Elephas maximus indicus: one gene and its partner. The protein of the gene in region 2 binds, or shares a complex with, the protein of the main gene of each other region. Links are inferred from orthologs where the notes say so. Each region holds a gene or a part of one and is shown on either strand. Other genes may lie near its edges. The genes, in order: PRDX1 and SIRT5.

What was found.
Region 1: the proteins of SIRT5 (region 2) and PRDX1 are in contact, whole or in part, in a crystal structure (PDB 8Z54), measured with the Homo sapiens proteins. The link is inferred for Elephas maximus indicus from reciprocal best matches to the Homo sapiens genes SIRT5 and PRDX1. Residues at the interface, in NP_001363727.1 of Homo sapiens: Ala86, Tyr102, Arg105, Gln140, Ile142, His158, Val220, Val221, Trp222, Phe223, Gly224, Glu225, Asn226, Leu227, Leu232, Val253, Val254, Tyr255, Pro256; in NP_001189360.1 of Homo sapiens: Phe195, Ser196, Lys197, Gln198.

The regions. Positions count from the first base shown.
Region 1 is NC_064821.1:87,926,000-87,936,134, reverse strand, and holds the start of PRDX1 (peroxiredoxin-1), read left to right. Parts: upstream 1-5,579; 5' UTR 5,580-5,680; intron 5,681-7,349; 5' UTR 7,350-7,360; coding exon 7,361-7,466; intron 7,467-9,573; coding exon 9,574-9,727; intron 9,728-10,086; coding exon 10,087-10,135. UniProt on the Homo sapiens protein: Thiol-specific peroxidase that catalyzes the reduction of hydrogen peroxide and organic hydroperoxides to water and alcohols, respectively.
Region 2 is NC_064819.1:57,938,427-57,948,441, forward strand, and holds the start of SIRT5 (NAD-dependent protein deacylase sirtuin-5, mitochondrial), read left to right. Parts: upstream 1-5,389; 5' UTR 5,390-5,472; intron 5,473-5,768; exon of another isoform or gene 5,769-5,935; intron 5,936-5,947; exon of another isoform or gene 5,948-7,749; intron 7,750-10,015. UniProt on the Homo sapiens protein: NAD-dependent lysine demalonylase, desuccinylase and deglutarylase that specifically removes malonyl, succinyl and glutaryl groups on target proteins.

The DNA of each region.
Region 1 (10,135 bases), on a different chromosome or scaffold from region 2:
GGAGGTGTCAGCCCCTGGAGAAATACATCATACTTGGTAAAGTAGAGGGTCCGCAAAAAAGTGGAAGACCCTTAATGAGGTGGACTGACACAGTGGCTGCAACAATGGGCTTAAGCATAATAATGATTGTGAGGATGGTGTACAACTGGGCAGTGTTTCGTTCTGTTGTGCAGAGGGTTGCTATGAGTCAGAACTGACTTGATAGCACCTAACAACAACAACAACAATGTTAAATAGCATATAAAACAAAGAACTAGATTTCTTGCTATTAAAATAACAAAATTTTCTTTGATTTCTGAGTTAAAGAGTTAATTTATTTGTGTAATCTGCCTTGAAGACAAAGGTTTGGCCTCTCGTTAGAGTAAGATTCCTGAGTCAAAAACCAAGCTGCGTGGCTTTAGAAAAAAAAAAAGCTAAGGTTTTTACGTTTCAGATCTTTGGCCTAATAACTTAAGTTTTGTTTCTCAGTGACCTTTAATAAGCTCCTGACAACCTTGAAACTTCTTGGAAAGCCACGAATTTTTTTTTTTAATAAAGGAAAAGTGCTAAAAAGATTATTTCAATATGTTATAAATTTCATGGAATGTGTTGTCAGAATCAAGAGAAGCGCCTGATTCTCTTTGGGTTAAAATTTATATGTTAGTGTTTTCTCTTATGTTTTTGCCTAATAGTGAAAATATTAGACAATAAATGAATAAGATTGTGTCATAATTTTATTATTATTTCTTACTTGCTAACTGGGTTACAACTTTATTAAATCAGTGGTTCGATTGGGGAATTCACATCATTTACCTATGAATTTTTTTTTTTATTACTATTCAGGTATTTAGAGACTTGACAATCTTGGTATATCCTGACTATATGGTATTATGTCTTAAGATTATTATGTATTATATCTGAAGCTCTTTGGAAATAAGGTTAACCATTATTTTTAGTATTATTTTTTATCTAACGTGTTTTAACTGATTTTATTTGGCCTTTACATTATGCTTGTAATTAATTTCTATCAAGTGTTTCACAATTAAGAGTGTTATTTATATAAGTTAATTATGGCCATATTCAGTTTTGTCATCTGCAGATAAGTGTTTACTTTGCTGATTTGCTGAAAACATTTGACCAAATTTCTCAACAAAAAGATGGACTGTATTGGACTTGTGAAAAGGACTGTGACTAGACTGAATAAAATTTCCAGAACTCTTATGCAGAGGCTGATGGGCTTACAGACCAGCTGAAACAGAAATTAACTACATAAGATTGAGTAAAGGATACTATGGGTTTTATGTGGGAATGTTGTTGATGCTTTAAGGTTCTACTTTCTAGATATAAGAAATTGTTTTCTTTCTCCTAAATTATCTAACTAATGGGTTTGGATATTTTAACTGTTGAATTAGAAGTTCCTGTTGGTAAACTTAGCAAAGTTGTAAATATAAATTTCTGAAGTTGGAGCTATAATTTTATAAAATAGAACAGCATTTCCTATTAGTCTCTCAAGGAACAGTTTTGTGCCTTAACGGATAAATGTTGCTATATTTATTTAAATACACAACCTGAGGTTTTGCAGAATGTAGTTGCTACTGAGACAACATGAAAAGCAGTTACTGATGCGGCTTATGCATAAATAAACCCCTCATGAAATTTGTTTTCTTGGTTCAAAGACCTTAGGGTCATGGTTTCATTAGTTATTTCAGACAGTTGGCCTCATACTATTGTTAGTGTTTCTATTCTACTTCCTAGTTCGCTGTATGGTGCCTGGGATCTTAAAAACCAGATGGTGCCCAATTACTGTTTATTGAGCATTTTTGATCAAAGATTCTATAGCAAGATCATGATCCAAAGGAGGGAACCATGAAAGAGTTATAATTCTTCTGGAATCCAGATTTCTGGCTTTCATGGAGGTTAGAGTAACCCATAATAGGAAATGCTGTTCTATTTCATATTTTAAAATTATAGCTCCAACTTCAGACATTTATATTTACAACTTTGCTATTGCCTTTGGGTGTCATTTTGAACCTTGAGCTTTGAGGAAAAAAAGGGTTCCTTGAAGAATTCAGTCTTTTGGGGAAACTGACTCCAAAGATTAGACTGAGAGTTACGTTTAGGGTAAATCAGTAATCCGTTTAATTAGTCTTCAAGACAGTCTAACGTTTATAATCAAACTCTCACCCTCTTACTATGTAGAAATTTATGTATCTTAAAGAAACCAGGTTCTCAGAGGAGGTCGACCTCATGGTTCAGACTCCATATTGTCTTAGGCTCCACTTTTGCTTCTGAGAAAGTGACTCATGACTGTTAATAGATAAACCAAAGAGGGGCAGCCTGCACTCAGGAAGAACACTTATTATGTTTTAAAGAGATTAACTGACGATCTCCAACAGGTGAGGTCCATCCTCTATTATCTTGCTAATCGTGAATTTTCTAATTCTCTGTTTGTCACATGTAAATTTTTCTATATTTTCTGTTTTCTCCAGACAAACTTTGTGTCTCCTTGTGGATATATGTTTTTATGTGGTAGAGCCAACTATACTAGTTTAGATGACTCCTTTCCAATTGATAGTGAATTTACGTGGGCAATCTCTTGTTTAGATCTCTGGTGAATGCATGGGCAATGCACTTTGGGAATGTTAGGATTACCTTTAGATATTCATAGTAATGATGCCAGTAAATATTGGAAAGGTAATGTTAAACTGTTATACATTGTAAAATGAAAGTCAGATGAAAACTCATTGGTTTAGCGCTCAGGGTATTGTTGGTAGCTTTAATTCCTACTTATGGTATAGTTGAATTGGAGAAATCTTTAAGAAATTTATCAATCACTATGCAACTAATAGATGAAGTTGCTAATGGGGTGGAAACACAACAGCAATCTCTGACCTCATAAGCCAAGGTGACATGAGATAATGGAATAGCCTTAGATTTTTTTATTGGTCCAAGAAAGTGTAATCTGTGCTGTAGCAAATACCTCTTGTTTCATTTGGATAAATAACACAGGAGAAGTAGAACAGGATATACATAGAATTAGACAGGCTACTTGGTTACACACTGTAATACCCTTACAAATACCAGATTTATTTAGTTGGTTACCATCAGGAATAAGTACATGGGCTAGATCACTATTGCAAGGGATAGTAATATTTTTAGTCTGTATCCTGATAGTATTATGCATAATAAAATTTATCTTCTATTGTCTTACACACCTAAAAGCCAAAAGGAGGCCTCGAGCTAAAATGTTGATGTACATTTAGTCTGCTTACTTCAGCAACGCAATTAATGAGAACGTTGCTCTTACTTAAGATTCTGGTGAAGAACCAGATGGTATCTGGTGGAAAACCAGCACTGTGAGTTTAAAGAGCCTACCATGGCCGCCATCTAGGAGCTCCACTAAGTCCAGGTATTGATCATCGATGTCTTATCTCCAACTTCCAATCAAAAGGAGGGAATGATTTAGTAGATGATATTGGAGCCATTATTCCTTGTCCTGGAATGTGACTCAGCTGGAGCTGGACTCACAAGGACTGTTGTAGGGGAAAAAACATCACAAAGTTTAGTAACCCAAAAAGAAAGCTTTATTTGGCATATATTCAAAAAGACAAAAGTGGGAAGCAGACAAGCATGCTGCCAGAGCTAATAATGTCTGCCCCAAGCTGGAGGAAGGCTACATTAGTAACATTACAAAAATGGGTAGAATCGTTGAAAGCTTCACCTTTTCACAGATTGGCTAGAAACTGTGGTATTACATTTTGAATTGCTTTTCTTAATAATCATTGGTATAGGTTTCAGTAACTGACAGTCAGAAGGGTCTTCATTGGTCCAACAAATATCTACTCACTAAATGTTAATAGAAAAAGGTAAGAGTGCAAAGTCTTTTGTGTTTTGTTTGATTGGCTTTATGTAAAAAGTTCCCTAAAAGATATTTTTCTTCCCTAAAAGATAATTTCTAAGATTGCTCTATCTATTGTCTTTATCTCTGGGCCCAGCGCATGTGTCCTTGTGACTCTTTGTGGGCCCAGCTTCAGCTGGGTAACATTCTCTATGCTCAAGGACAGGGAATAATAATCCCAATATTATTTTCTAAATTAAGACCCACAAAGACTCACAAGGACACATAAACTGGGCCCTGAGGCATAAAGACAATGGCTAGGACAATCTTGGAACACATCTTTTAGGGAATCTTCCACATAAGCTAGTAAAACAGCACAGAAGACCCATATGGTTTCCATTGTTACCTTTTTCTACTAGCATTTAGTGAATAGTAAGATTTGTTAGGCCAATGATGACCCTCCTATCATTACTGAAGCCTAGACCAATGATTGTTAAGAAAGACACTTCAAAATATAGGATCACGGTTTCTAGCCCATTTGTGAAAAGGTAAAACTTTTAATGGTTTTGCCTATTTGTAATGTTAATATATACTGATGATTCTGCATTGTTCTTTGGACAGACATGGCTCTAGCAGCAGGCATGTCTATTTTCCCACTTTATTCTGTAATATTTGCTTGGAGTTTGGGCAGACAAGGCCCTAACAGTATGCTTGTCCTTTTCCCACTTTTGCCTCTTTGCATATATGCCAAATAAAACTTTTCTTTTTGCTTTACTAAACTTTGTGATTTTTTTTTTTTCCCTACAACAAGCCATTCCCAGAGACTATCTTTTAGCCAGACCATAGACAGGCCCACAAAATAAAAACACTAGAGAGGAACATGCTCCTTAGAACAACCAATTGAACTAAATCAAAAGGGCAATATCTGCCCACAGGGATAGATGAGAAGGCAGGGAGGGGTAAAAAATCAGGACGAAAGGAAATGGGGAACCTAGGGAGGAAATGGGGAGAGTCCTGACACATCGTGGGGAATTAAACCAATGCTATTTTTTATGGAACATTTTATGCACAAACTATCAAATGGGAAACTAATTTGCTCTGTAAACTGTAACCCAATGCACAATTAAAAAAACAAAATCATAAGGCTTTTAATTCAGGGAATTGACTACAGAGCCCTGGTTTTTAAATCACAAATCCAAGGAGTGACATGATCACATTTCAATAAGATTCCCTTCAGCTATAGTGGAAGGAATGGATGGGAGATGGAAAACAGCTCAGCCAATAATCGGAATAATAAAGCGGCTTTATATTTTTATCCAAGGTACAGAAACCAGGGATACTAGTCATCTGGCAGACGCTGCGGTGACTGGGACGATTTGAGAAGTATTTAGATACTTCTCTCAGGGCTTGGTGTGTAGTTCCCAGGATGTCCTCCGTGAGCGACAGCGAGGACCCTTAATCTGGTTTGCGCTTTAAGGGCACAGCGCGCAAGGGGTCCTAGAAGTAAAGGAATCCCGGCCCCCATTGAGATCATAAATTAATTGAGGACTTTGGGCTTGAGGGCGGCCGAGAGTGCATCCCACTCTCCGACCTCAGCCGTTGGTGGCGGCAGTGATGACTGGGGGCGATTAGTACTATCTGCGACCACTCCCGCCCCTCAGCGAGGGGAAGTGCTGAGTCATTCTGGCGAGGCGCGATGGGACCCGACTGCGAGTGGGGCAGATTCCCCCTCCCTCTCCTCCTCCTGCACCCCCGGCCCACGCCGACTCTCGCGAGAGCCCAAGAAACTATAAAGGCAGCGCCCCACGCAAGCTCCGCAAATTCTTTTCCTGGCTGATCTTGGTGCCTTCTGTTTTGCAACTGGTGAGTCTCTAGGTAGCTTGGCCTCGCGAACCCCCCCACCTGTTGCTACTTTCTGCTCTCTTGCTTTTCTCCGGGGCTCACATAGTCTCTGTTGGAGGCGCCGTGACCGGCGAGGCGGCCCGCGGGGGCCTGGCGCCTGAAAGTGTTTGGGCGGTCCCCTCACCCCGCGTTGCGCATCTCCTTGTGCTTTCGGGGACTGGTTGAGCCCCGAGGCTTACACCCGCTCCAGTCTCTTTCCCTCGAGCAAAGTGTGCTGGTTGGCTTGGCGCGCGGCTGGGTGAGGCGGCGTGGGAGCTCCACGGCTAGCCTCCTGCGAGGCAGGGCGGGTTCGGGAAGCTTCTGGAGTGGACCTAGAACCAGAGCTGTGGCTGCAGAAGGTTACCCGTAATCGGTCTTTGTGTGGTAGAGGTGAAAGCGGCCCCGGTCTTCAGCTGTGATTTGCTGTGAGGTTTTCCCAAATTCCCTCGCTGAAGAATGCGCAATCTTTTCTGCTGGCGATTTCCGAACTACTAGGATGAGGGTGACGTTGGGAGCGGCAAGAAGGTACCTGAACTGGGCTTTGCAGGCGTGGCCCTCTCTAGGGGGTTTGGGAGCGTGTCTCCTGAGGGCGCCGCACCGACCGGAAGTCCAGCAGACTTTCCTCTTGGTTGGTCGGGCTTTTGTGGTGTTGGGGTCACCTGGAAAAACAGGTTTGGACGAGAAGCCTGTTTCTCTTAGGGCCACACCCCGTCGCCAAGTTGCAGCGTACCTTACGGTTTCTTTGTTAAAGGGTGTTAAAATAGTTTTTATTTTATACAGGCTGTGAAACCTTTGCGAAGATCGATTCTAGGCATGCGCACAACGTTTCCTTTGATTGTATTATGAACCGAGAACTTTGGGCATTACGGGAAAATTAGTTTCTTAGGGTTTTCAAACCGGTAACTTAATTGAGTTAAATCTTAACTCCTTATCTTGGTATTGATCTGGGCGAATCCAATGCATTAAACTGAACTCTTGATGGCACTGATTTTTCTTCCGGGATCTCGGCCCCGAGGCCAGACACCCATTTTGAAAAGACTTCTAGGGCTAAATCCAATACCTAAAGTTTTTAAATTGAGCAGATGCCAGAATCTTGGTCTGGATTGGCTTTAGGGCGTGTGCTTTCTTGGGCACATCCACCTGGAGAAAGTTCCAGTGCACTTTACATCTTATAGATGGAGGTGCAGTCGGCAGAAAGGCAACATGAGGGCTTGTGGGAGTCAGGCAATCAGCGTTGGTGGCTTTGTGCATTGTGTACTTGGGTTCTGGTTTGAGAGTCTCTACCTTATCCCTCCCTTCTCGGTGCTTCTGTATAATGAAAAGGCAGAAGAAAATGCCGGTTCATAATGTCTCAGAAAAGGTGACTTCGACTTACTAAAAAATTGTCCTTTTTAGATGAAAACAAAGACTGAGATTTCAGAGACTTTTGTAACATCTGGGTTTGGTCCAGAAATTAGAAAGCTCAGATTGTGGCCCTTCCATTGTGACTCTTGGCTGCTGGCTTGCATTACTAATGATAAAAATTTTGTGTTCAGGACCACTGGACCTGATTGTTCTTGGTTCTACCACTAAGTCCCTAAGTAGGTGAGAGCTACCTTGTATCTAAAAAGACAAGACTTGTTTTTAATTCATTTTCTTTTATCTTTTCCAGCTGATAACAAGATGTCTTCAGGAGCTGCTAAAATTGGGCACCCTGCCCCCAACTTCAAAGCTACAGCCGTTATGCCAGATGGTCAGTTCAAAGATATCAGCTTGTCTGACTACAAAGGTAAGAGTAATTACATGGGATTCATTATAATGGAATTATGATCCAGAGATAACTTGTTAAATTTTGGTATCTGTTACATTTGATTCTAAAATTCTTTGTATCTCCCAGGACAAGGCCTTTAGGGCAGGATTCTGTTACCTTTATGCTGAAGCAAAAGAGTGATGATCAGTGTTTACAGAATAGATATTGTAGGTTCAGACTTCTTCTGGAGAAGGCACATGCTTCATTATATGTAACCATATTAGGTCAATTTGATTTTCTCAGTACTTCTGAATTGTTTTCATTATCATCTCTTCTGTTAAGACGCCTGGCCAGGCCCAGTGGTTAAGAGCTTGCCTGCTAACCAAAAGGTTGGGAGTTCAAATCCACTAGCCCCTCCTGGAAACCCTGTGGAGCAGTTCTACTCTGTCCTGTAGGGTTGCTGGTGAGTCGGAATCAACTTGATGTCAACGGGTTTGCTTTTTTTGCTATATTCTCAAGTCTTTGGGCTATGATACAGCTTAGTGGTCATTTGTGAAATGTGTGTGTCACAGCCATTACGTTATTAGGCAGAGGGCTCAGGCCCATTCCCTTGACTGTTTTTGCCGCCCCCGCCCCCCCGCGCCAGAGAAGAGTTGATGTCACAGCTGAAACAACTCCCCTTAGTTACGTGCAGACACTTGGCAGTCTCTAATGAGGCCATTCCTTTCTTGCAGTCCCAGAGCACCTGGGTCTTCTGGGATAAAGATTTCTTAGAATGCAAACCTCGAACTCAAGTGTACTTCCCTTAGTGGTGTAGTAATTGGTTCTTGGAGTTGGCTTTTGGGTAGAACTTTTAACTAGGTTTCCTAACACGTCGCACTTGTTCGATGGTGATGAGAGCAAGTAAGTGGGGCCCTGTGGAGGGAAGCTTCTCCTGACAAAGTAAGTAACACCAGAGGTACGTGACCCTGGCCCAAGAGTATAGGCATTAGGTCTAGGAGGAGCAGCTCTCTGCCCTCCAGGGCTTGATCTGCTGAGGCTTCAAAGTGCTTGTTAGGTAAAGCCCTGGAGGAGTTATTTAGATGAGTCAGCTTCTAGTTACTTTCCTTTTCAAAGTAAATGTCAAAAAAAAAGGCTACCTGGGAATAAAGTAAATGTTTGGAGTTGTTCCATAGCTCAGCACGTTAGGTGTGGTAAGAGACTTCCTGGACAGTTTGAAGGTCTACTTCAACTGGTAATCTGAGTGACCAGTAAAATTCCAGTTAGAAGTTGTGTTAACCTACCGGGACTTTTGAAACTTTGTTTATAAGATTTTTATTTCTTGTCCTGTCAGGTTTGTTAGGAACGAGTTTGTGGCGATTGAGGTCCTTAAAGGTCCTTACCGGTCCCATCACTATGGTTCATTGTGAAAGACGTACAAAGGCTGACTTCCTTTTGTTGGTTTCTTGTCACCTGTCAGCAGAGAGCTCAGCAATTCAGCTCTGGGCACTCTTCTAAGCATTGGCAATATGCCACCCAGTTAAAAGTGATAATTGCGTTTTGCTTTCCTTCATTGGAGTAAGAACGTGGTGTTTATACTCTTGCCTTAACTAACCGTAGGAGTAGATAGAGGTTATAGGAGTTACAGTTGGCAGCTAATGAGGAGGCAGGAGAATAAAGCATGGAGCTAGAAAGAATTTTTTCTCATTCAGATGTATGAGTCTCCAGGCCCTCCTGCTGCAACAAGTTCTAAAATAGATGCTAGGAGACAGCTATGTTGAGTCGTCTTGCCCGGGCTTTGAATCTGTTCGTTCTGGTTCAAACCCCTATTGAGAATTGCATTTTTAACAAGTTCCAGGTGATGCTGATGTTGCTGGTTAGGGACCATGCCAGAACCACTAGTACATCAGTGGTTCTCAAAATCTATTACACGTAAGGATCATCTGTGGATATTGTGAAAGTGTAGGGCCTGATTCAGTATATCTGCGGTGGAAATGAAAATTCTCAGCAGGGGTTCAAACCAGAATGAACTGGTTTGAAGCCCTGGTCTTGTCATTTAACAATTGTGTGTCTGCCATCAACTTAATAAGAAAGGCTTTTTCATAGGAAATGTATCCTTAGCTTTTCGTTCTCTGTAAGGCTAACCTGAGGATTCTTTCCTTTTCAGGAAAATATATTGTGTTCTTTTTTTATCCTCTTGACTTCACCTTTGTGTGCCCTACGGAGATCATTGCTTTTAGTGACAGGGCAGAAGAATTTAAGAAACTCAACTGCCAAGTGATTGGTGCTTCCGTGGATTCTCACTTCTGTCATCTGGCTTGGTAAATGTCTTTGTCTGTTTGGCATGTGGACTTACTAACTAAGCAGCAATTGGGAGACATTGGCAATAGACTTTCTCAAGTTTTGACTTCTGGCTCCTTGTAGACAGAGTACAAAGGCTCTTGACTTCTTGTTGCTTTCTTGTTACTTGGCAGCAGAGAAGAAGCAGCTTGAGTTGCAGCTGAGCATGTTCTGGTGATCTTTACTGTCTTCAGCCATTCACTTTGCTGCTAGAAAGACTTTTGAGTATTGGGAGAGTTAGATAAGAGCATGGGAAAGAGGAAGGAATGGGTACAGTTAATGCTGTGGCTACACAAGGCTTTAAATGAATGCAATTGTATGTGTGTGCCTTTTGCTGTAGGATCAACACACCCAAGAAACAAGGAGGGCTGGGACCCATGAATATTCCT
Region 2 (10,015 bases):
AGCACAGAGTCAGGGCTGTGTTGGGAATGCTTTTGTGGTGCAGTGAGTTACTTAATATGGCCCTTCTAGCCATAGTCTTTGTGATTCCCACAAAATGGTTGGGTGGGACTATGCAAATAAGGTTCTTGTGGCCCACCAAGGGGATTGGACAGCTTGCTAACAATGCAAATAAGGTGTGTGGAAAACTTGTGGAGGTGGAACCATGTAAATAAAGTATATGGAACCCTAACAAGGCGATTGGTCAGTTTTGCCACCCATGAGGCTTAAAAAGAGAGCCAATCCCAGAGCAGAGAGGAGACTTTACTACCATGAAGAAGAGCCAGGAGCAGAGTGTGTCCTTTGGACCCAAGGTACCTATGCTGGGAATCTCCTAGACCCAGGAGACAGAGAGCTGTAACACTGGAGATAGGGCAAGATGGTGAGAAGTGGCAGCAAGCATGGGAGAGAAACAGCACCAGCAGAACCAGGAGACTGGTACAAGATGGCACAGTGTGTTCCCCAGCCTCCAGAGGGAGGTGGTTACAGTGGGTGTGTTGATCCATGAAGCAAGAATGCTGAGAGCCTCCAGAAAGAAGGTTTGGAAGCAGAGCAGGGTGCCTCTGGGGACTTGTTGGTGGATCTAGCAGCACTGACCCATAGAAAGAGAGAGCTGAGAGCACTTTTGGGCAGGAGGCTGTTTGCAGAGCTAAAGAGCTTCGTAACACTTTCCTGAGCAGGGCAGGGGCCAAGCCTGAGTGGGGGCTGAGGGCTGAGAGAGGAGTCTGTCCTCAGCCTAGGAAACCCTGTGGGTAGTTCTACTCTGTCATATAGAGCCCCTCAAGGGGCCAAAAAGAGATTGCCCTCAGGGGGCCAAAAAGAGCCCTGCACAGCTGGGAGGAGCTGAGAGAGCTGTCCTGCACCAGAGAATGGAGACTTTGCATGTTTTCTGATCCTGATCCTGATCCTGAGTTGTACCTGTTACTTCCCTAATAAACCCCATAATTGTGAGTATTGTCTGTGAGTTCTGTGTGGCCATTGCAACAAATCACTGAATCCAGCAGAGAAGTAGAGAGTGCCGTGGGAGGGATGGCTAGTGTCTGAACTGGTAAAAAGTTTGGAGAAAGGAGGTATATCTGACCTCCACCTCATAGGAACCAGCCTTGGGCTGATGCTGATTCCCCTACCCCCTGAAGTTAAAGGCTCTCTGATGCCACCACACCACCATTTTTATAGCCATTTTACATTTCCAGAGTTTGGCAGAGAAAGGATTCATGCGTGTTTTCCATTGGCCTGATGTGGCTCTGTGGAAGTGGAGTTGGCTACTAGTTTTCTTGGATAGGATCCTGTCCCAGGGGTTTCCTGTCAGGATAGAGGTGCCCTCAGCTGGAAAAGGTGCAAACATATCAAGACTAAGAAGCTGAGGAGGCTCTGACTATGTTAAGGGAGGTACGGATTAAAAGAACCTGTCAAAACTACACAGGTCTCCAACATGAGAAAGAACCAGCATTTGGAACCTGTTGGGACTTTGATCCTTATCTCTGAGGGATCACGGAGGCCAAGGAGCAGGGCAGAAGGGACTCAGAGGAGAGATGTCCTCAAGTATGGACCTGCCCATGTAACTCTATGTGCCCCCAACTGTGGACAGTCTTCCACTCAATGGTAAACACTAGTAAGTGTAGAGAACTTGGACACCTTGTCAGGGATGGATGGGGGCATGAAGGGAGAACTGTATCTGCTGATCAAAATGAAAATGAAAAAATTCACTTGGAAAATTCTCTCTGAGTGTGGCAGTGAGAGACACATTGCTGCTCTTCTGTTTCTTCCACATCTTCAAAAAATAAGAGATACTGCAGCCACCAAAACAAGCAACAACAAACAAGATGCTATAAACATGAAAAAGAACAGAGCTCTTGGACATTAAAATTATGGACACTGTCCCCTTCCCCCACATACCCACCTCTCACCACCCAACCGTTGAAAGACAGTGTGACGTTCCACTGAGCGATACAGACTTTTCCTCACAGAAGAGCATGCAAACACCTGTGCCTCCCATTTTCCTGTCACTATTCACAGTTCAGTTATTCATGACAATTTTATTTCTTAAGTTTGTGCTATGTGCATTTGTTGCTGGGGGTAGTAGGGTTGGAAGAACCTCCTGGCTATATGTTATTTTCAGATGCACTGACCAGCTGACAAGTTACATTAGAGCCTCAACCTTTGGGTGACGTGTGTGGGGGTCCACCTTAGGGCAGGGTCATTCTTGGTGTTGATCATCCCTTGAGCCTCACTCTAGAACCCAGAGAAACTAAGGGGGTGTGCAGAGAGGTCCTGACTTCTTGCCTTTCTCTGTGAAGGGCTCCGGATGCACAGGGGTGGGAGTGGGGGTGTGATGATGAGCATTACCTTGGCATCTTCACGAGGAAACAGGCTGGAGCTGGGAAATACAGAATCTCGGGGGGCTACAATTTGGCACAATTTCTAGATTGTGTTTATATATCTCTTGTAGTTTTGTAATCTTGATGTTTATCTTCTTCCTGCTCTCCCTTAGTATTGAGTAAAACCCCTAGAAAATTCCAACCTTTTCCCGGTGTGTCCAAATAAATCAATAGATAAAGGACACCAACCCTAAGTGTTTATGTTCCATGGGTGTATCTGCATCAGAGGCTTAAAAAGGACCCAGTCCACCTCCTGAGAATCAGTAACAGAGTAACCCCAAGAGGATGTAAAATTCAGGGTGGGGAAATCTGCTTTCCAGAGGGAAAGCTTGGCAGTCTGAATTTCATGAAGGAGGTAATACTACCTTCCAATGTATGTACCTCAAGTTCTTATGCCACCTACCTGGTTACCCCAGGAAAATGTCTGTAGATATAATGAATTATCAATAAGTCATTTTTTCCATGTGCTGCTCTGGACTCACAAGCAAAAAAAGAAAAGGTAATTTCCTTTTCTTAAATTTCAGTAAAGACTGCCAAGCCATTAACCTTATTTCCTGTGAGGCTGTTCATTCATTCATTTAATACATGTTTACTAATTGAGTATCTACTATCAGGGACTGTGAGGTGTTGAGAATACCAGGGTGAGTTTAAAGGAGACAAGGGGGGTCACCTTCAGGGAGCACACAGCCTAGCAGGGGAAGGATACTGTAATCAAATACACAGAGAAAGTGAAATTTGGAAGGGGATAACTGCTATGGTGCTGTACCACCCTACGTCAAAGGTGAGGGATCTCACTCACTGGAGTGGGAGATCGTCTGACAAGGTTTCCTTGAGGAAGTGACAGTAGAGCTGAGACTAGAAGGATGAGAGGAGTTACTATGGAGGGAGTGGGAAAAGAACATTCCAGAAAAAGGGAAAAGCCTTTGTTTTGGAAGAGCAAAGCCATTGAGAAAGTAAGCTGGGGTTCCTTGAAAGATGGAAAGGATAGTGGCTGATGGTTCTAGAAGTGGCCTGACATGCTGGGGAAAGCCAGCTCTTCCAAGTCTGGGAGAAAGAATGGGGGTGAGGGGTGGTGTGGTAGGTAGCTGTGGTGATGGGCTCCTGGACCTTAATGTAATGCAATGTCCCAAAGGTGGCAGAACATTCCAGGAGAGGCGGAGGGCTACATATTGGGTCCGTGGACTGTGTTGTTGTGTGCCATCAATTTGATTCCAATTCATAGTTACCCTATAGGACAAAGCAGAACTGTCCCATAGGGTTTTCAAGGTTGTATCTTTTGACTGCCACATCTTTTTCTCCCAGAGTGGCTGGTGGGTTCAAATTACTGACCTTTCAGTTAGCAGCCGAGTGCTTAATCACTGTACCACCAAGGCTCCTTTTGTGGACTATAGGTTACAATAAAGGGCGTTGGGCCTCCCCTCCTTCCTCCAGTGTCCAACTGAAGTAAAGGATCAACGCTTACTTGACGGCCAGTATCATAAGAACAAAAAGTAATGGAAAAACACTTTGAGTGGTGGTATACCTGGTGGTTCACATCCTAGACTCCGGAACCAAAGCACTTAGGTTCAAATCCCAGCTCTACTAAAAGGCTTTGTGTCTTGGGCAGTTACTTGACCTCCTGGTGTCTCAGTTTCCCCACTTGTAAAGCCAGAAATAATAGTACCTATTTCATCAGATAACAATTTACGGGAGCTAAAGGAGCCCCACAGTGGTCTTAATTCCCATTCAAGCTGTGTGGGTCATGGTTGAGGTCCGAATTAAGGGGATAAAAGTTAACGCAATTTTTTGTTAACCAAGTTTCCGGACCACTTCCTCTTCTAGTTCATTTGGTGTGCCCATAAGTAATTTCATTCTAGGAAAAGTCGTGCTGGTGGTAAGCCTGCTTCAAAGAAAAGGAAAGGGGACCATTTAAAAGGGAACTCAGCCACTTGGAGCCACATAAGCCACCAAGTCCCAGAGCCCCCAAACTGTGCCCTTCTGACACCTGGGTAAGGATTGCAAACACCAGCAGTCTGCAATGCACCTGCACAGGCGAGCAGGTAGCATTCTTCACTGGGTTAGAGGGGTTTGGTGGGCTAGACAGGGAAACCAACTAACCACGACTGGAAATAACATTTCTGAGAACATAACCCAACATCTGAACTGCTCTGTCCTGAAGCTGTGTACAGTGCACCAGCTGTTTGCTCAAGAAGTGCAATGGTTAAGGTTTTGTGTCAACTTGGCTGGGCCATGATGCTCAGTGGTTTGGCAGTTATGATGCAGTTTGGCAGCTAGGTAATGATGTAATCTCCATAATGAGATTTGATATAATGTAATCACCTCCGTGATGAGACTTGTTATGAGCAATTAGTTCAAAGAGAGTTTCCTTGGATTTGGCCTGCAACCAATATAGGTGGACTTTCTGGCTAAAGCTCTCTGGCTTTTGCTTGCTCTAGATCCTGCAGCTAGCTCCTGTCCATCTGACCTCTGGTTCTTGGGACTTGAGCTAGCAGCTTACCTGCCCATTTGGGGTTTGTCTGCCTCAGCAGCCTGTGAGCCAGAGGCCTGCTGCCCCACCCGCCAATCTTGGATTCTCCAGACCCTGCAACTACTTGAGTCAGGAGACGCCTCCAACCAGACCCATAAATTTGGGACTTTCCATCCTCTACAACTGTGTGAGACATTTCCTTGACCTAAATCTCTCTGTATATGTATTTATAGGCCTCACTGGTTTTCCTTCTCTTTTAGAGAACCTGGCCTAAGATAAGGAAGAAGCAAAGCAGATAGTAGTTCACGACATATCTGGGCAACAGAGTGAAACCTGGAAGCTCACAAAGATGAAGCAAAAACTGTCTTTCCACTCCCGCGAGCCCAAATGAAAGAAAAAACAAAAACAAAAAACCGTGCAATAAAAAGAACCGTGGTAATGGGTCCCATTGCTCCGGAGTCCCTCAGCTCCGGGTCTCCGGTAGAGGTCGCTGTCGCCCAGCAGGCGGGTGGCACTGCTCCGCCCCGCGCCCTCTTAGTCCAGCCCCCGCACCCCGGCCCGCCGCCGGCGTCTCCGCCTCCCGTGGTGCAGGTGCGTCTCCGCCCGGGCTGGACTGGGGTCTCCGCGGCCTCGCCTGTTCCCCCCGGAGTCCCCGCCGAGCTCGGCCTCCGGCCGGGCTGTGTCTGTACCGCTCGGTCCCGGGCGAGCCGCGGGCCCTTGGGGTCGGAGGCGGTGCCGGCCGCAGCGCGCATGCCCGGCCCGGCCCATTCCCCGCGGCCTTTAGTGCAGGGCCGTGGGGGGCGCTGGTCTAGGGGGCAGGGGTGGGACAGGCTCTGGAGGGGGGGAGGTGGGCGATCCCGGAGGGCGGGGGCGTGGGGGGAGGGGAAGTGGACGGTCCCCGAGGCGGGGTCAACCCCTGGTGACCGCGGGTCCCGAAGAGCCATCGGAAGCGCAGGCCCCTTGGGGAGGAAGCCTAGACGGCGCTGAGGGCGGGCGCTGGACGCCCCCGGAGGCAGTAGCGGCCGGAGAGGCGAGGGAAGGGGCAGGAAACGAGGTTGGAGACTAACGGGGCCCTAGTAGGTGGGCTTGGTGGCCTCTGTGAAGGGGGAGCCCCAGGAGGGCTCTGAGCAGAGGTTCACCTTTGAGAAGAGCCACTCCTGGCAGGGTCAGTCCTGGCAGGTGATGGTGGCTTGGGCTAGGCGGGGGCAGCGCACGTGGGAGAAGGGGTCGGATACAGGACCTAGAGTGGAGGTGGAGCTGCCAGGGTTTGCTCAAGAGCCTGGCCCGGGGTGAGAGAAAGGGGAGGAGTCAGGGTCAAGGCCTTTGGCCAGAACAGCGCGGGGAGGGAGGGAGGTGCCCAAACCTAGAAGACCAAATGAGGGCGGCTTTGCGAAGAGGAGGCTTGGGGGAAGTTGGAGACCCCGGGCATGGTGGACATTGGAAGGGAGGCGTAGAGAAGGCACTGGGCCTAGCAGTCTAGAGCTTTGGGGGGGATGACCCATTGCCCGTTGCCCTGAAGTTGATTCGGACACACAGCGAGCCTATTGGACAGAGTGGAATTGCCCCGTAGGGTTTCCAGGGAGCAGCTGGTGGATTTGAACTGCGAACCTTTTGGTTAGCAGCCTGAGCTTTTAACATCTGAGTCACCAGGGCTCCCTGGGAGGATGGCAGTGGTATAAACGTGGCAGATCCACTGGCTGGTGATCTCGCAGGGGAGGCACCCTACTGGAAAACTTGGGGGGAGGGGCGGTTAGAGAGCTATCAGGTGAGCATCAGTGGAGTGTGGTGGGAGACCAAGGGAAAGGAGGGCTTTTCGGAGACTCGATGGAGTGGTTGAAAGGTTGGGCATGACCAAGGTGGAGAACAGAGACTCCACTGGATTTAGTAATACGGAGGTGGCTGGTGACCTTGACAAATGTAGGTGGTAGAGTAAGGAGAGGGAATAGAGTACACCTGTGTAGACAACTGGGGACTAGTGCCCCACACTGTATTTAGCTTATAGATATTCAAAGGGTATTTACTGGACACCTGTGAATTAAGCAGAGCCCTGGTGGCACAGTGGTTAAGAGCTCCGCTACTAGCCAAAAGGTTGGCAGTTCTAATCCACCAGCTGTTCTTTGGAAACCCTATAAGGCAGTTCTACTCTGTCCTATAGCACATGAGTCGTAATAGACTGGACAGCAAATGGGTTTGGTTTTTGGGTTTCGTGAATTTTGCAAGTTTTTGTAGTTCCTCTGTGTTATGTATAACCCACCAGCTGTTCCGTGGAAACCCTGCCCTATGAGGTTGCTATGAGTCGGAATTGACTCAGTGGCATTGGGTTTGATTTGGTTTTTTTGTTTTGCATTATAATACCATGTATTTAAAATTAATGTTTTCTGTAAAATTTTTTCTCCCAAATTCCTGATAGAACTTCTCATTTATATATTTTTTGGAATGGATAGCATACCCCTTTTTTTCTCACAGGCAACGTACAGGCATTTTTCTTTACTTTTTTTTTTAAATTCATGAGGTGAACTTCAGGTTTCACAAGAAAGTCTCCTTACAGAAGAGACTGCCCTTACAAGGACTAATGTCATTGTAGGGAATCTGCCCAGCCCCCGGAAAGCTCCCAGTGACTGGTGATTTAAGTTTATTTCCTCCCCTGAAGATTCTCTTCTCACCCCAAGATAAAACCAAGGCAGAGTAATTGGTGGTTTCATCACCCAGGGCAGCCTTCAGTGACTGTCCCCCGGTCCCTTGCACTCCAGGACTGAGTTCTCAGGCCTCAGACTCTCACAGTGGCACTGCCCTGCGCTTGTTTTCAGGCTCCAACAGAATTGTAAGCTTCTGGAAGTTAGAACCACTGCCCACTCCCTAGAAAAACAGGTAAGTGTTGGCACAGAGGATACTTCCAATAAAGATTTTTGTGGTGGTTGTGGCTGTTAGTTGCAGCTCAGACTCATGGTGACCTTACGTAGAACTGAATGTTCCTGATCCTGTGCCACCTTCAAGATTGTTGGTGGGTTTGAGTCCATTGTTGGGGCTATTGTGTTCCCCTCATTGAGGGCTCCCCTCATTTCCATTGGCCCTCTAGTCTTAATGTTCTGAGCATTTCCATAATTGGAAATAAATTTGAGGTGGTATTCAAAAATGTTAAAAACTTTGCTTTTATCTTTACTTTGTTTTCACATTTGGAGAGACTCCTGCAGAACATCTTGTAAATTACTTGAAAATTTTGCAAATTCTGATAATTCCATTTCCTTAAAAAGAAAATCATGTGAAATGTCCACTGATAAGCAATAGAGTGGTTTTTGTCACCAGTGAGACCAAAATTGCCTCACTGATCCATTACTTCAGATAGACATGAAAGACTTTATCTAATCTATTGTTCCACTAATCTGTGACTTAGTGTGGATAAAAGAAGGAACCCTGGTGGCACAGTGGTTAAGTGTTCCACTGATAACTGAAAGGTTGGCGTTTTGAACCCACCAGCCATAAGGATTACAGCCTTGGAAACCCAATGGGGAAGTTCTACCCTGTCCTTTGGAGCTGCTGTGAGTTGGAATTCACTCTATGGCAGTGGGTTTGGGTGGATAAAAAGTTTGAAATAAAAATTAGTATTTTAATTGCATACAATTGAATACAATACACAAATATGTATGTATGTATAATATATGATTAAACCAAAACCCATCGCTGTTGCGTCGATTCCAAATGCCCCATAGGGTTTCCAAGGAGCACCTGGTGGATTTGAACTGTTGACCTTTTGGTTAGCTGCGGTAGCTCTTAACCACTCTACCACCACAGTTTCCTGTGTGTGATTAGACATTATAATTCACATGATAAGATGAGAACCAAAACTGTCTTCCCCCCAAGTTCTTGCTGATTGCATTTCCTAGGCAAAGAATTTAGAAGCTAGTGATTTTTGGAGATGTTGAAACATGAATAAGTAAAACTTCTTTTCTGCTTTATTATTTTGGGTTTAGTATTATTACTATTATTCAATAATTAAAACATTTGAATAGAAAAACTTAGACAATGAAAAATTAGTAACATTTTACCGAAATAATACAAGTTCTAATTTTAAAATTCTTTAGAATTATCATATTTGCCACGAATACCTTTATAATCAGCAACAGGTCCAGCACTCAAGTTTAGAGTAGAATGAAGATTTGCCTTCATTACACGGCCGTCCAGCAGAAGATACTTGACATTGGTACCTCTGTTGATTGCATTTTAAATTCTTACTGTCCTATGAAAGCCTACCTTCACGTCTGACAAAGAAATATGACCGTTCATTCAGAAGTTAACTATAATTCTTTTACAGTAGGTAGAAATGTTTCCCAACATTTAAAACCCACAGAAGAAGAAAAGGATTTTCTGGATCAAATTGGAAGTCTAGATCAAATTTTTGCCCCCAATTTGGGAGAAATAACTAAAGATATTAAGCTCAAAACAATAGTACAACTAACTTCACACAACACATAGAAAGTTTTTAGTAGGTTAGGCAGTATCGGGAGCTTTAATTTTCACAAAATTTCATTGAGATGTACAAGTTTTAAAAATACTGCCATGACGATATTTTTAAGCCTCAAATGGACGTGAGAAGACCCCCTTGATAAATGTAAAAGCTGGGTAATGGAAACGGTAATGTTCTGCTTTTTCTATACATTTAAATTTTTCTGTAATTAAAAAAAACTATAATAATGCCTCATTTGTCCCTCACTAAAGTATTCCATAAGTGAGCCCTGGTGGCTCACTGGTTAAAGCGCTCAGCTGTTAACCCACAGGTTGGCAGTTTGAACTCACCAGCAGCTCTGTGGGAGAAATATGTGGCAGCCTGCTTTCCTGAAGATTACAGCCTGGGAAACCTTATGGGGGCAGTTCTACTGTCTTACAGAGTTCCCATGAATTGGAATTGACTTGATGGCAGCGGGTTTGCTTCTTAAGGTATCCCGTAAGGCCCCTGGGTGGTAAAAACAGTTTGCACTTGACTAACCTAAAGGTTAGTGGGTCAGACCCACACAGTGGCACCAAGGAAGAAAGGCCCAGCTATCTGCTTCCGTAAAGATTACAGCCAAGAAAACCTTGTGGAGCAGTTCTACTCTGTAACACCTGGGTTTGTCATGAGTCAGAATTGACTCAATGGCAA